Kluyveromyces lactis: one gene and its partners. The main gene of each other region encodes a partner of the protein of the gene in region 3 in a complex. Links are inferred from orthologs where the notes say so. Each region holds a gene or a part of one and is shown on either strand. Other genes may lie near its edges.

Region 1 (5,013 bases), on a different chromosome or scaffold from region 3:
GTGCATATTCTGCCCTCGTCTCTTCAAAACGCTTCTTCCTGCAGATCTTCTTCCATTGTGATTTTGATATGCCTTCCGGAGGAGGTGGAAATTGTGGTGCCCTAACTATCGGCTTAGGTTTATCTTTGACATCTGAGGTATCAGCTGGAATCTCAGCATTTGAATTTTCACTGGTATCAGACATTTGAGCTTGTCTTCAATTCTTTATTCTCGAAGGACCATCTGCGATGAGCTTCCATATCGTTGGAATCTTTGAAAGCTTTCTCTAAACATTCGTTTCTTCTTCTGCATTTTTCATGTTGATAAAGTTTGAAAGTCACGTGGGTTTTATGTCACTGGATAATCGCTTCCTGTTTCGCGATTAACACAACGATTCGAATTATATCAATCCCGAGAGCGTGACACCATATTAACGTGCCAAAATTGATACTAGTAAGTATGTCCAAGCGCCTGATTGTACTTCTTCTCTTCTTGTTTTTTTTTTGGTTTATCAACATGTATTTATATCTAAATCTTTGAAACTTTGAAATGTAGAGAGCATTTAATTCACAGAGCCAAATGAAAATAATGGTTCTGTCGAGGTTGAAAAGAAAATACATAACTCTGGGTCACTATCAATTGACCGATTAATAACTATAACAGGGGGTTCAGATCAGTTCTTAGAAGATTGATTTTGAAAGATGTCCTACGCTACCAAGTTGGAATTACCATGGGTTGAAAAATACAGACCGCATTTATTGAAAGATATTGTAGGGAATGAGGATACGGTGCAACGGCTACAAACCATCGCTGCTGATGGTAATATGCCTCACATGATTATCAGTGGCCTACCAGGTATTGGTAAAACAACTTCGATACACTGTTTGGCACATGAGCTATTAGGTGATGCGTATTCACAGGCTGTATTGGAGTTGAATGCGTCTGATGACAGAGGTATCGAAGTCGTCAGAAATCAGATAAAGCATTTTGCCCAAAAGAAGTGCACGCTACCAGCAGGTAAGCATAAGATTATCATTTTGGATGAGGCAGATTCAATGACCAGTGGTGCTCAGCAGGCTTTGAGAAGAACAATGGAGTTATACTCTAATACGACGAGATTTGCTTTTGCATGTAACCAATCTAATAAGATAATTGAACCTTTACAATCTCGTTGTGCAATACTACGTTACTCGAAACTAACTGATGAACAGGTTCTCAAAAGATTATTGGAAATTATAAAGCTGGAAGATGTTCAATACACGAATGATGGTCTCGAAGCTATTATCTTCACTGCCGAAGGTGACATGAGACAGGCAATAAACAATTTACAAAGTACAGTTGCTGGTTTCGGTTTAGTAAATGGGGAGAACGTTTTCCAAATTGTTGATTCCCCGCATCCACTAATAGTCAAGAGAATGCTATTATCTGGATCTCTCGATGAATCGCTGCAATATTTAAAAGAACTTTGGGTTAAAGGCTACTCTGCGGTAGATATAGTGATAACTTGTTTCAGAGTAATGAAAAATCTCGATGAAGTTAAGGAAACGGTTAGATTGGAGATGATCAAGGAAATCGGCTTTACACATATGAGAATTCTTGAAGGTGTCGGGACTCATCTTCAACTATCAGGTATGTTAGCTAAAATTCAAAAGCTTAAATCGTAAATAGACTATTACCACATAATTAACATCCAAAAAGTAATCATAATGATTGTAAATATTTAAATGACCCAAAGTTTTCAAGCTTGGGGACCTATAGAAAGCATATAATTAAACTACTCCCCCGTTCGCTCACCGTCAGCATTTCGTTTTCCTGATGTGTGTGTGTATTACAACTTTCAGAAAAAATACGAAAAGCCTGAAATATATCAAAAAGAACATCGACTACACCGCAAAGAATACAGTTGGAAAAGAAAGATACTTCAAATTGTATTACACTCTGTTCGTGACAGAAAACCATATATTGAAATTATAATGGATGTTTTAAGCGATCTGTTAGAATTAGATGCAACTGAACTTCAACTGCCAGAGGATTCTCCATCAGGTAAAGATGATAACATTGATACTTACCGAGCCTACGTTGACTCGACCCTAAAAAAAGAATATCAATTACATACTGAATTCCTCAAGGAATTTGATGATCTCATGGAAAAGAACCAATCAATACGTACCTCTACTGAGACACTTATACCGAGTTTGAAAAATTACTTTGCCGAATTTAACAACAAGTTGAACGATTTGACTAAAGATCTCGATTTCGTTAAGGGTAAATTTTCTGAGTTTTCATCGTTACTGAAGAGTAACTCTTCGAAGTTGAAAGACATAAGTCCCATCGTTAATGATTTGATAATCTCTCCTGAAATAATATATCAAGTGTTAAGAGGCAAGATTGATCAAAAATGGATTGATTGTATTGATTATTTGAACGATAAACAAGAGATATTCCTGAAGTATCAAGAAGAAAATAAATCAGAGAGACCAAATGATTTCGAACAGTTGAATGAAATCTTACAAATACTAAAGGCAGTTTCTGCAGAAAGAGCTAAAAAATATATTGTGATAAGAATTAAGAGACTGAGGGACGGACATCCTGTGCCAGCGCAAAGAATTCAAGAGGAACTACTTCAGGTCAGAGAAATCTATCAAATGATCTACAATACCAAGTCGGACATAGCTACAGAATTACGAGAAGCATATATTAATACGATGAAATGGTATTATAAGACATATTTTGCAAGATATATTAGATCTTTGACAATTTTACAGTACGTCCAGATAGATTCTCAATACGCATTAGGACAAGGTCTTTCAAATACATCGGTTTCAGGATCTTATTCTAATTATCTTTATGCCAGTGGAAGAACGCTCTTTGGCGCACAAACTGCTTCCCACTTTAATGTCACTGATGACAGCATTAACGACTATTTCCAAATATCAAAACGGTTGGATCTTATCACGCAAGAAGATAGGACAGTTATGGTATCGCAAATTGCAGAGAATAATCCAATTGCCAATTACATCGAAGTTGGATTTAAAAATTTAAACTTGGCATTATTAGATAATTGCACTGCAGAATTTATGTTTTTGAATGAATTCTTCAGATTACCAACTGATAAAGGTGATCTAATACGAACCATTCTTCTGGATATCTTCCAGCCAACTTTTGATAATGCTATGGACTTCACGCATCAATTAATTGATACATCATTCGATATATTTGGTGTCTTAATCAGCATTAGAGTTGCACATAGACTACAATTCGAAGCGCAACATCGTCAAATCCCGTGCATTGATGATTATCTTGATGGTCAGTTGATTCTTCTATGGCCAAAATTTCAGAAACTTGTGGATTTCCAGTGTGAACAATTAAGATCTGTTTCAATAACAACCAACGTTGCCCGTGTTAGAGGTGCTGGAACCGCTTCAGACCCGTTAGTAACGCCTCACGAACTCACGGTACAGTTTTCCAAATTTCTTCTCAGTTTATTGAAACTATCGTTAACCCACAAGGAACTTTTAGATGAAAGGGCAGAACCGTTGTTCCACTCGATAAATAGAATTCGTGATGATTTCGAAACAATAATGACAAAATGCAGCAAAAAGACTAAAAACGCTGATAATTTCCTAACCACAAATTATATGTATATCTACAACGCCCTTCAACAATCGTTCCTCAGAACAGATTCTGAAAAGGAACCACTCATCCTCTCACAAACGAAAACTCATCTTTCACAGCTACTAGAAGCATATAGTAAGTAAATATATATATATATATGTATACGAACAACCATTACAGTATCTCGTTACGAATAACACATTCAATCTTCGATTTATTTAGTTGTGCCGTTTCTCGTTTATTTTAAAAACGTCAATAAACATAAACAGTTTCTACTTTATTTTCGGTTCCATATATATGCTAATTTGAGATGACCGAAACAGAATAGCTATATGAACGTCGAGTGACGAGGAAATCCATTGGGCTGATCCACTCAACATAGAGTGTAGTCTGTGGTCAATCGTATGATGAAAAGGCCAACTGATTCGCAGAATGAAATTATCCAATTCCCTTATATACCTGCTAGCACTCTGAAAGTTATTGCAGGACCCGGTTCAGGTAAGACATATACATTGCTATGCAAAGTTCGAGAGTTGATCCAAACGGGGCAGGTGAAACCCCGTGAAATTATTATTCTATCTTTGACTAATAAAGCAGTTGATAATATTACAGATAATCTTCTAGGCGTCTTTCAGGAATTAAGCGATAAACCGTACACTGACCATGAAGTTGATGACATTGTTTCCCAAATTGGTATTTACACGATCCATGGCCTCTCGAACAGGATAGTTACTGAAAATATGGGTATTGTGAACATAATCGAGGAAAACGGTTGGAGAGGTCTAGTCAAGCTCATTCCAAAAGATTTTTGGAATAAGAGAAATGTTAATACTGCTAATGACCGGATCATTACGAAGAAGCTTCAGAAACTTATAAATGAATACCAAATTGACACAGATAATATTGATGAGACCATTGAAAAAGTAACAAAGTTAATGAAGCATTCAAATGTTTTGACTAACGATGATTTAATCAAAATGGCTGTGGAATTCTTAAAAGAGCCGAATTCAGAAGAGGATACTGCATTCACCAAATTTGTACTAAATGAAGCCAAAGTTTTAATTATTGACGAATTCCAAGACTTATATCCAGGTATATTTAAACTATTAAAGACATTACTTGGTCAAAAACACTTTTTAATATTTGGAGATATCAATCAAAGCATTTATGAGTTTTTGGGAAGTAACAAAGAAGTCATGTCTGAATTGGACAGGTTAAGACCTGATGATAAAAAATTCACTAAGTACATCCATGACAATTTCCGTAGTACACCAGAAATAACTGCTGCAGCCAATGCTGTTATAAACCAAACCGTTCCTGTTCAGATTAAAAGAGAAAATATAGTAGAAAAACATCCTTCCGGAGTTTACCCCATCAAATACAATTGCGAAGAATTAATAGATGAATTGGACTTCATTG
Region 2 (5,348 bases), on a different chromosome or scaffold from region 3:
TTTGGTCCAGTTGTTGTTCTTCACCTTTAGTGAAATCTAACATCTCCTGAGCATTATGTAAAAGCACAGTACCCTTGGTTTCGGTGTTTGAGATATCAATTGGACATGTAAACACAGCAACCTTATGCTTTTCACCTTGAGGCAAGGACTTCAAATGTCCTTCTGGTTCGCGGTTGAAGACTAAACCCTTGATAACAGATGAGTTGGTAAGGGAACCACCCATAATCTTTACCACTCTAATTGAGTCGACATTGAAATAGTTGGAATTTGGTAGCAAGACATGTGCCACAGCGTCTGATACTAAGGAACTTAAAATATCTTCAGAACCATATTGCTTGGATGCAATGACTGGCTTGATGACCTTGATTAACTCACTTTTTTCATGTTTGTTCTTGATATCCAACACAGACATCTTGTCAAGTTCTGCCAAAGTAAAATTCTTTGCCATTGTGTAACCTTGAATAATTTCTACAGGTGAAAGACCTAGCGCAATAAGCTTTTCACTAACATTCAAAAGCTCACCAGCCAACACCATAACAAGGTTAGTACCATCACCCATATCAATTTTTTGTTGTTCAGATGCCATCACCAACACTTTAACAGCAGGATGGACAATCTCTAATTCCCTTAGCATGGTAGCAGCATCGTTGGTCACAATGTGCTTTCCCAAATGATTAATGATGATCTTGTTTCTGCCGCATGGCCCCATAGAAGTTAAACACATCTGGTGAATCTCTCTAATGGCAGCGATCGATTTATTGATTTGACCATCAGCATTAGAGTACGAATTGTACCCTTGCTTGAACAATCCCGCATTAGGATTTTGAGGAAGTTTCAAAGACATGCTGCTTTTCAAGGATTTGTGAATTATCTGCTTTCCTTCCAAGGTATAGCTTTTCCACGTACAAGTTTCGTCTTCGCCACCTTTGTTCACGCACTGTTTTCTATATTTCAACTATGTTGTTAAAAGATACTTTAGCATTTTTTTTTTTCAGTATTGAGAGATATGCAGAAAATATGGGAATGCTTTAGCCAATAGTTACTAGGGACAAAGTGTCTGAATAAGGCATGTGTACATGTGTGTTTCTGGAGATCTGAAAGTACTATCATCTTACTCTAAAGAATAGGTATGTAGCTGGGTGATGGATGCATCCACGTCAACATCCTAGGAATAATCATAGCAGAATAGAGTTATGTATCTTAAAACTTCGCTGATCCTGGCAAATCAAACCATTTCAATATATAGCTCAGGAAGGCACTTACTCTGTTGTTCTGCCATATGCAAAACATATGTTTGTAAGAGCAGCATCGTTGGCTACACACTGTAACTCGTTGAGCAATAATATATTATGCAGTGCGAAGATTACATCGTTCTGGTATATGTACAGTGTCAATGAAGCTACTCAAAGGAATTGCTTCAGTAGCTCAGTCGGAAGAGCGTCAGTCTCATAATCTGAAGGTCGAGAGTTCGAACCTCCCCTGGAGCATTATTTTTTTCATAGTTAAAGGGTTTGGAACTGTCAATTCACCTTTTAAAGACTTTGTATTTTTTTTCGATATTTCTGATATCAGACTTTCATAGTAATTATTGCATACAGAAACAAATATAACAAGAACCTTTGTTGTATCATCAGTAAATGACAAAAAGAGCCAGCAATTGTAAGTTGCAGAGGTATAATTCTCCCTTCTCTATCCAGCTCCTCCCCATTATTGTTTCCTGTATTAGTATCACGCACATTAATTTGAATTGAATAACTAGAACTTAACAAGTAATGATTTCAGAATCTTTGGAATACGATCCCTTACACGATCTTCAACAGATATTCTCGAAGCAGGAATCTTTATCAGATATTGATAACCTAGTGCTATTAACCGAAAAATGTAAATTTAATTTAGAGGAGCGGGTACGAGAAAGCAATAACACCAGTTCAGAAGTCAATAGTTTAGAAGACAATTATGATTTCCACAAGTTGTTTGAGAAGATAAATTCAACGAAGTCTCTGTCACAGATTACTGAAGCAACCATATCCGACTTGACACATGATATTTCAGATTTGGATAACGCTAAGAGGAATATAACGAGATCGATGACGTGCTTTGAAAATTTGAAGATCTTGAGTGATGCATACGTGAACTCTAAAAAGTACATGCAAGCTGAAAAATACATTGAAATGTGCGGCCCCTTTAAAGTTATGCATTCCTTATCTGTATCTTTCCACGAATATAAATCTTTGGATGAGTTTTGTAAGTTTCTAAATCAAATTCATCGTTTAGAGAGTGATACACTATTGGTGTGTGAGAGAGTAACGAAAGAAGTGCTTAGGGATGGGTCTAACAGTAAATATGACAGCAAAACGATGAAAGACGGTATATGTTGCCTTGCGGACACTAATAAGCATTATAAAGAAAGGATTGTGCAATTGTGTTTGGATTCTCTATTGTATGAAATTAAAGAAATCTTCCAAATTGATGATGAAGCTGGTTCTTTGGAGAATTTGTCTAGACGTTACATCTTCTTCAAAAAAGTATTAAATAATTTCCAGTCTACTTTCAGCGAATATTTCCCATCAGAATGGGAGATACCTTTGAAACTAACGGATTCTTTCTTCACAATGACGTCTAACGATTTGAAAACATTATTGAAGAGAGATTTGTCCGGTACCACCTCCATTGACCTATTCATGCAATCGTTACAAACTACCTTAGAGTTTGAAAAATACATATCAGTGAAGTTTTCCCATATATACGAGGGTAAAATATCCACTTGCTTTGAGCCATATTTGAAATTATGGGTTAGACACCAAGATTCATCTTTGAACGCCAAGATGTTGACATATCTTAATGAGACCAAGCTCCCAGCTAAAAATGAATCGCTTGTCGTTCCATCCAGTGCAGACTTGTTTAGAACTTATAGACACATTCTTTCTCAAACTTTCAGCTTGATAGAAGGCGGTAATAAATCGACCATAATGGTGGAATTGGCGGTTTTCTTCGTCAAATGGTTGAATGAATATTATGAAAAGATTTTGAAACCATTGTTGTTACCTGAGGATACACAAATCGATGATAAGAATGAAGTAGTGAAATATACCGTTCTTCTTGTCAATACAGCAGACTATTGCGCAAATACAATTGATCAATTGCAAGATAAACTCTGTGAATATCTTGAGAATGATGAGCCAAATATCAACAAAGTTGCAGCCATTTTTGAACCTACAAGGCAAAAATACATGGATCTCGTATCGGGTGGTATCAATTTACTACTAAATCGCATCCTGAAGAAAGATTTGGAATTTGTATGGAGGGAGTTCACAAACACAAATTGGGCTAATACAATGGTGGAAGATTACAGCAGATATGTGACTACCTTACAGAGTATCCTCCTACCAACAAGATCGGAAAATTCAACATTTTACTCCACTGTTTCTCAATTCAATAGAGATCTTTATGGTTGGAATTTTATTGATAAAACTATTGATTTAATAGCTATCTCTTTTGAATCTCAAATTATAAAGCTCTTGAAACCAGCTTTACCATATGGCACTCTTAATTCGAAAAGACAGTTCGATGTGAAGCAAGTGATAAATATCGCAGAACAATTATTGTTAGACGTTCAACTATTGAAGACAACGTTGCATTCACTTCCGGAAAGTTTACCGCAACATGACACATCAGCTAAAAGAGTCACGAAACACATAGATAGTAATGTGGAAAAACTAATGCATCTTTTAAAGTTACTTGTCTCTCCTATTGACCCTGATACAACATACTTGGAAACCTATTATGCAATAACCGCAAGTCAGAATACAAACTCAAATTTCTGGGCATTTATACTAGCGCTAAAAGGTGTACCTTGGGATTTGGCACTTTGGAAAAGAGTATGGTCAGAATTTCAACAATCAGATGATGATACTCAACCGATGAAACCAGATGACCTTATTTTCAACCCTAGAGAACTACAAAACTTTATTTACAATCTATCGAGGGTATCAGATCCATCATGGAAAACATTTTTGGAGGAAGACCTCAAGATTAAACCTGTTCCACGTCCTGATTTATCCGTAGCTATACAGTCCTCCCCTAGTCCACCCACTGGGTCTCCATCCCCTAAGATTCCTGGACATAAATTGAATGAGATAAAAAACCTTATGTCAAACTCCAGTTTTTTTTTCAAGAAGGGCTAACTGCTTCTGTAGAGAAGCTTCCACACGCAGTTTGACCAACGAAACAGCAACACTACTTGTAATACTACCTTTACCTCTGTAGCAGATTTATCAGTTTAAATAGGCTTTTTTTAACATTTTCGAGGCATGTCAATGCGTCAAGTCAAAATGACACAGAAAACTCGAAGATATTATTTACTTATGAATATTAAGATATATCAGTTAACCTGAGCACTTACAATATATCTGATTATATGACAAAATGTGCCGCACAAGTTGGTTCGGCTATCGACTTTATTTTGAAATCAGACCTGGTATCCTCATGCAATGATTCCATTCTTCTACATAATGATTTTTTTCACTATAGCTGAAAGCACGCTTACAGATGCTGAGTTTAAGGAAATTGATATGTTTATAGATGTTGTTGGTGAATCACATTTTGCTCTGATGTTTCCTGTGGAATTGATCAGAACCGATTTGAATGATACGTTTGACCCAAAACAAGTTTACGATATTTTTGATGAATTAGCTGAAGAGCGCAAAGAGTTTCAAATAGTAAAAGAACTTGATATACCTGAGTTTGTGGCCGAACCGCTTTATGATAGGCTGACATATCTCTCAGTCAAATTGGATAATGGATACACCGTAAATCTAGCAAATGAAATAGCAATAATTCAGGATATAATCCAAATAGCAGCAGAGTCAGACAACATTAAACTCGATTTTACTGCTCTTCTTAGAGTTAAAGAAGAGTTGAGGGTTGATATGGCAGCCGTGTCAAAATTAAAGTTGTTCAAAACGTGCTTATTGTCCAACCTTTTCCCATTTATGCAGGAAGAATGCGAAGGACTCTTAAGACAAAAGCTAATTGAACATCTCAAGATTTGGATAGAAGTTTGGAAAAGACACCAAGATGATTGAATTAGTATGAGCTTTCTCGAGTTGAATTAAGTATTATGTGCCTTTTCTACTATATCTTGTTCCTATTTGTAGCATAAGTATTAAAAGGAAATGCAATAAGTTCAGCCATTAATTTTGTTAGAACTTATAAGTGACTTCAGCTCCCACTGAATAGGCCGATGTACCGAAAGACTTGAATTGCACAGATTCCCCCTTCGCTATTTCTTTTGAATCAGAATCTGTCCATTCTAGTGGAACATTCGCATTACTATCAGTATAGGCCAA
Region 3 (5,416 bases):
TAAGCTTTAACAAGACCCGGTTACCTCGATTGAATCACAATGGAATATGGACACGAGCTGGATATAAATGCTCTGCTTAACCTAAAACAATGTGTTTAAGATGGGAATACCCAGACAATAAGACTGATTGATACCTTAGAAAAAAAGTGGCAATTACTAATAATACAGGTCAATAAAACTCTTCCGTAGTTTACTTGCCTCTCGCTCAACAGACCAGAAATGCCGCGCGTACTTGAACAGTGATTAATACTCTCACACGCCTTAAGGTACCAGTGTAAAACTATCACTTTGGTGTTTTGTCAGGGTAAACAAAACAAAACATTCTAATTCAAAAGTATCAGAATCTCTAACTTTTCAAAGCTTCGTTGGGTCAATGTTTTCATGATGTTCATTGGAAAACGTTGACCCTCGTTAGAAATTGCGATCATATTATACGGAAAGCAGGGTAACGATACATACACAGACGCATATAGTGAGTCCACACTATCACGTGATTCATATTGCTAATATATATGCATAAATATTCAGTACAACTGAGATATCACCTATTCTATCATGCGCAGTGAACTGTTTACCCGATGGGTAGTACTTGTCTTAAACAGGAGGCGGGATATTGTTTGTTTGGAACAATTTCTCACTGGACTGTTGTAATTGTTTCCAGATGTTTTCGTACTTATCTGTCTTAGATCCCAGCGTACGTTGGAAATACCCTTGTAGTAGTAGCGTTATTTCCGCTAGACAATCAAGTGATTCGGCCATGATATTCAAGTTTTTATCTGTCTTTGTAGATAGTCTGTCTGTCAGTGATGATGATATAGATTCTATTGCCTTTGTATTGAAGAATTTCAAGACATCGGACAATTGACGTTCGCAATGTCTTGCATACTGTGATGGGAAGTTTGAGGCGAGTACCAATAAAGTTTTGATCATTTTGATGGCAAGGATTAGAGCCTCGCTTGCCACGAATGTCTTATCACCTAAGACAACGGATTTTTTGTGACCGGTAGAGGATTGCTTCTCATCCTTTGTTTCGTCTAATGGAGAAGGTTTGTTCAACTCGATGAATCGTGTCCAATTTGACGGATCAATGTCAATACACGATACAATATCATTGACATCCTTTTGCAATTCGGGCTCGACGATGAATGGTGTCCATCTCTCTACATCGATCTTTTGTTTCAAAACCCTTATGTTCAAATTTTGTAAAGATTTCAAATATGTATCGATTTGGAGGTTCAATACGTCAGAAAGATACTTCGTTAGAAATTCACCGCTTATAGATTCACACTCTCTCATGAAAAGCATGCATATCTCGTAGAACTGAAGGAAATGATCGAAACGTAATGTACATGTGATATCCCGTCTCACTGAGATTATTTTCCCCATTCGAAGCTGTACTATCCTTATACCCTCGTTAACGCTTTTCCGAATATCAAGATCAATAATCATCTTATCAGATTGCTCTGCCGTTGTCGGTAATTCACTTAGCGAAATGTCTAATAGCATTTTCTGATGCCGCGTTAACCTCTTCAATAGTTCGATTTCAGAAGTGAATATATTTACAAGCATTGATTGGAACTCTTGAGATGATTGTTCTTGAATCAACTTTGATAGCCTTGACCCATTGGCGGCAGTTGGTTTAGAGCCATCTTTCGACTCTTCAGGTGTTTGTCTCTCATGCGGTAGATTAACCTTAATAACAGATTTCAACTCTGCTATAAATTTATCCTCGTATAGCTTCACTGCCGGAACCAACTGATCACAATCGATTAATTGTATTAGATTTTCTTTGATTTGCTTTCGGAAGGTCTCATCGATCTTTAAATGAGGTTTGTTCTTATCCTTCCTAGATTGCAATTTGATGATCGTGTCATTTTTCGATTGAGACTTCGAATACGTCCTCAAATCTTCCAATAGTACGGTAACCAGACTCAATGAGTAAGATCCCCCGATGTCAACCTTCAGATTATTTAGCATGTCTATTATGCCCTGTAAACTAGAAAAACTTGAGATGTTTGTGAGTTTGTACGGCCACTGAGAGGTCCAATCATTGACAGTGGGATCATCATTGTCACCATTTATTAAGTTCTCAACTGCTTTAACCAATTTCAAACACTCTTGTAGTTTTTCTTCTTGATATATTTCTTTACATTCTTCACATTTTTCTTTCGCTAGTTTTACTTGTAGGATCCCCTGTTGTAACTTTTCCACATTTTTCCTTCTTATGAGATCTTTAATCATCTCAATTCTTTTTGAGATTTTATCCCCATTTATCCTCTCAAGGGCCTCAGCAGCAGAATCCAACTCGTTGATTGTCTCTGTCGCATTTTCTCTAATCTTATCGACGTCTTCCAAAGCGTCAAAAAAGCTTTGTATAGACTTGGAGATTTCAGAAACAAGGAGTCCCTCAACAGTATCTAAGTAGAATGCCAATCTTCCTTGAAGCTCTTCATAGCTGTCATTTCTAACTTTATCATCATCATTTAGTAGTTGATTGGCATCAAACTCAAAATCTCGTAGAAGCATTCGAAAGAAATTGGGGTGATCTAATTTGAACTCCTTATCAAAATAGAATTCAGGTATTTCTTCAAATGCCTTGGCTTTCGTATTTTGCAATCCAAGGGCAGTTTTATCATGATCAATAGATCTCATTTGCTCCATTCGGTTCAACTTTGATATATTATTTGTCGATTGATACACCCTATATTCGTCTTTAATGTCATCTCTGTATTGATTAATATCCTTGTCCCATTTATCCTTAATATCGTTCTTGCTTAGAACTACAGGGGGAATATCCTCGGTGGTTGGGTGCCGCAACCATCTTTTAAATCTGGTGTTCATCACAATTTCATATATTGAATTATCAACCAACGGTGAATAATCAAGACCGTGTTTTTGGGTATGCATCGTTGTAGAAAAAGAATTGAATGTGGAATCAAAACTACTACGCCTCATAGACATACTGTCCCTTATTTGATCCCTGTTTCTAGATAATACAGATAGATCATCGTTCAACGAGCTAGCATCATCTGAGGCATGACTGGGCACCAATAGTGGAGATCGACTTAATTGCGTCCTACTATCAGGAGTTAGAGATAGAGCTGGTGTCTCACTTCCCAGTAACCTATCCGGCATAGTTAACTCGCTGGTTTATAGTCTGTTGGAACAGCTTTTTCTTTGCTATGCATCTTAAAGGTGTATGTATCTGTTTACAATATGAACTTTAATCGATTTTCAGTTTTTACATATTCAATGATACTTCTAAAAGAAAGTGAACATGGTAGTTTGAGTATATAATTAAGCGCACTCTCTCAACATAAATAAAACACCGTAGCAAGTTAATCAATAGAAGCATTAAGCGCTGAGCGAGAGATCTACGCAGATGGATAAAACCAAGAAAAATTGTTGTTCTTCTAATTAATACTATTTACGTAGTGAAAAAAAAATATATATGCTGGTAGAGTGGTATTTTTAAGTTTAACCTCAATAAAAAAAATGAACTCCGAATATACCTAAGAGCACTTGAGCGATCACTCAGAATCAGAATCAGATCCAAATAAAAAGCTACCCGATGAAGGAGATTTTAATGGTGGTCTTCTTACCGTCGAATTGTGTTGAGATAAAGGTTCTCCAGTGATGAAGCTATGTGTCTGTTTTAAAACAGGAGATGCAGAATTGGAAGGTGTGATAAAATCATGAATGGAATTTGCTCTAGACTTCCCTATAGATGAGGTTCGCCTTAATGATAGTGGGTCTTTTGCAGTAAGCTCTAGTTCTTCACCGTTATCGTCATGCTCTTCGTCATCATGACTGAAACCAGGTTGGGAAGAATCTGCGATGAATTCGTTGTCCGGATGTTCATCGTTATCATCTTGTACCGGAAGGCTTTGATGGTATGTATATATTTTCCCTCTTGAGTCATCATCCATATATCCGTCATTCGCGTCCTGTATTGGAGTATCTAATCCAATGCCATCCGGTACATCGAGGATATCACACGAATTGTCCACAGTTACAAAGTTGGATGTATCCCCCGTGTAAACGGAATTATAATCATACATGTAGTCAAATCCTCTGCTAGTATTCACATTGTGTGATACTGCGTTACCATAATACCATTCATTTTCGTCTTCATCATAATATTCATCGTCAGATCCGTAGTTTAGAGTAGTGGCTGGAAGTGGTTTAATAGTTGCGTTTGGAAATTTGGATAGTGAGAGTGATCTTAAAGAATTTGCAACATCTGTGCCATCACTAGCCCCCGAATTGGTTCGATTTTTTCTAGTATGTGCACTGATAAATAACCCATCATCTTCGTCATCTTCGTCGTCATCTTCATCATAATCGTAGCTGTCAGCGTCTTCATCATCTTCGTCATCGGCGTAATCTTCGACGCTGTTGGCCCCTGAATTTCTATATCCATCGTCAAAGTCAGAATACTGATGCGAAGATCTGGCACCGTCCGACATATCGTCAGAGTGGTAATCGGTATTTGTCATTGGGACTTCGTCATCATTAGGATTAGCGTCTATGGGGTTATGATTAACCGCAATACATTGTTCGACACGGTCATTGAAATGAATATGTCTTTCCCTTTTTTGCTTTTGCTTCATCGATGATGTAAGAATCGATGATAATATGGGAGGATCAGATCTTGCGGATGGGGTTTCTATCACAGAGCCAGAGATTGGACCTGGAGTGGTATTTACTATCGACGAGTTTGTTTCGGTCACAACGGGCGAAATAGATTCCACCGATTCATCAGGCGGTGTATGGATATTTTTGTAATATTGTGCATTCACCTTCGCGGCAATAGCATCATAATCGTCATGCGTTGTCTGACTTGACTGCGGATCCAAAATAGCATGCAAGTCACTAGTTTGCTTTCTGTGCTGCCTTGCTATATCTAATCTCCATTTGGAGTTTTCCTCGATAATTTCACTAACAGTTCTCTTCTTTAGAATAGGTTTAGGACCGGGACTCTGAGACTTTTGGATCAACCTTTTTGAATTTTCATCATCGGAACCATACCCCATGGTGGCCGCATGATTGTTTCCTATTTCAACGTTGGAAGTGGGCTTTGATGACGACGTCGAGTTATTTTGATCGCCCACTACAATCGGACCGTATAACCAAGTTACATCAGAATCCTTTGACCAGTTCAAAGATTCTGGATTCACAGTTTTCAGATTATTTCTAGCCTTTGACCAAGTTCTCCAGGAAGCATTTTCCAACCTTGCAGCATTGATTAAATCTGTGTCCTTCCGTTTCTTTTTCAAAATGATATAACGCCATGACTGAGATATTTCGTTTTCGTTCCATTTATGAGATAAGTAATCCACATGTCTATTGGGTTCATACATCAAGTCGTTGTCATCATGATGAATTAGGAAATCGTCAGTACCCGGGTCTGGAG

Evidence for each region. The genes of interacting proteins can lie anywhere in the genome.
Region 1: VPS54 (region 3) and VPS52 share a complex: the UniProt entries of both Saccharomyces cerevisiae proteins name them as parts of the golgi-associated retrograde protein (GARP) complex. The link is inferred for Kluyveromyces lactis from reciprocal best matches to the Saccharomyces cerevisiae genes VPS54 and VPS52.
Region 2: VPS54 (region 3) and VPS53 share a complex: the UniProt entries of both Saccharomyces cerevisiae proteins name them as parts of the golgi-associated retrograde protein (GARP) complex. The link is inferred for Kluyveromyces lactis from reciprocal best matches to the Saccharomyces cerevisiae genes VPS54 and VPS53.

The regions. Positions count from the first base shown.
Region 1 is NC_006039.1:336,275-341,287, reverse strand, and holds VPS52 (Vps52p), read left to right. Parts: upstream 1-1,952; coding exon 1,953-3,737; downstream 3,738-5,013. Other genes in the region: TRM10 (tRNA (guanine(9)-N(1))-methyltransferase), read right to left, coding at 1-184; RFC4 (replication factor C subunit 4), read left to right, coding at 681-1,643; HMI1 (ATP-dependent 3'-5' DNA helicase), read left to right, coding at 3,999-5,013. UniProt on the Saccharomyces cerevisiae protein: Involved in retrograde transport from early and late endosomes to late Golgi by linking the vesicle through the t-SNARE TGL1 to the Golgi, leading to the membrane fusion between late Golgi and endosomal vesicles.
Region 2 is NC_006040.1:793,253-798,600, forward strand, and holds VPS53 (Vps53p), read left to right. Parts: upstream 1-1,772; coding exon 1,773-4,184; downstream 4,185-5,348. Other genes in the region: chaperonin-containing T-complex subunit CCT8, read right to left, coding at 1-844; KLLA0_D09416g (uncharacterized protein), read left to right, coding at 4,491-5,084; spindle checkpoint protein MAD2, read right to left, coding at 5,202-5,348. UniProt on the Saccharomyces cerevisiae protein: Involved in retrograde transport from early and late endosomes to late Golgi by linking the vesicle through the t-SNARE TGL1 to the Golgi, leading to the membrane fusion between late Golgi and endosomal vesicles.
Region 3 is NC_006042.1:413,833-419,248, reverse strand, and holds VPS54 (Vps54p), read right to left. Parts: upstream 3,136-5,416; coding exon 595-3,135; downstream 1-594. Other genes in the region: RPI1 (protein phosphatase regulator REG1), read right to left, coding at 3,531-5,416. UniProt on the Saccharomyces cerevisiae protein: Involved in retrograde transport from early and late endosomes to late Golgi by linking the vesicle through the t-SNARE TGL1 to the Golgi, leading to the membrane fusion between late Golgi and endosomal vesicles.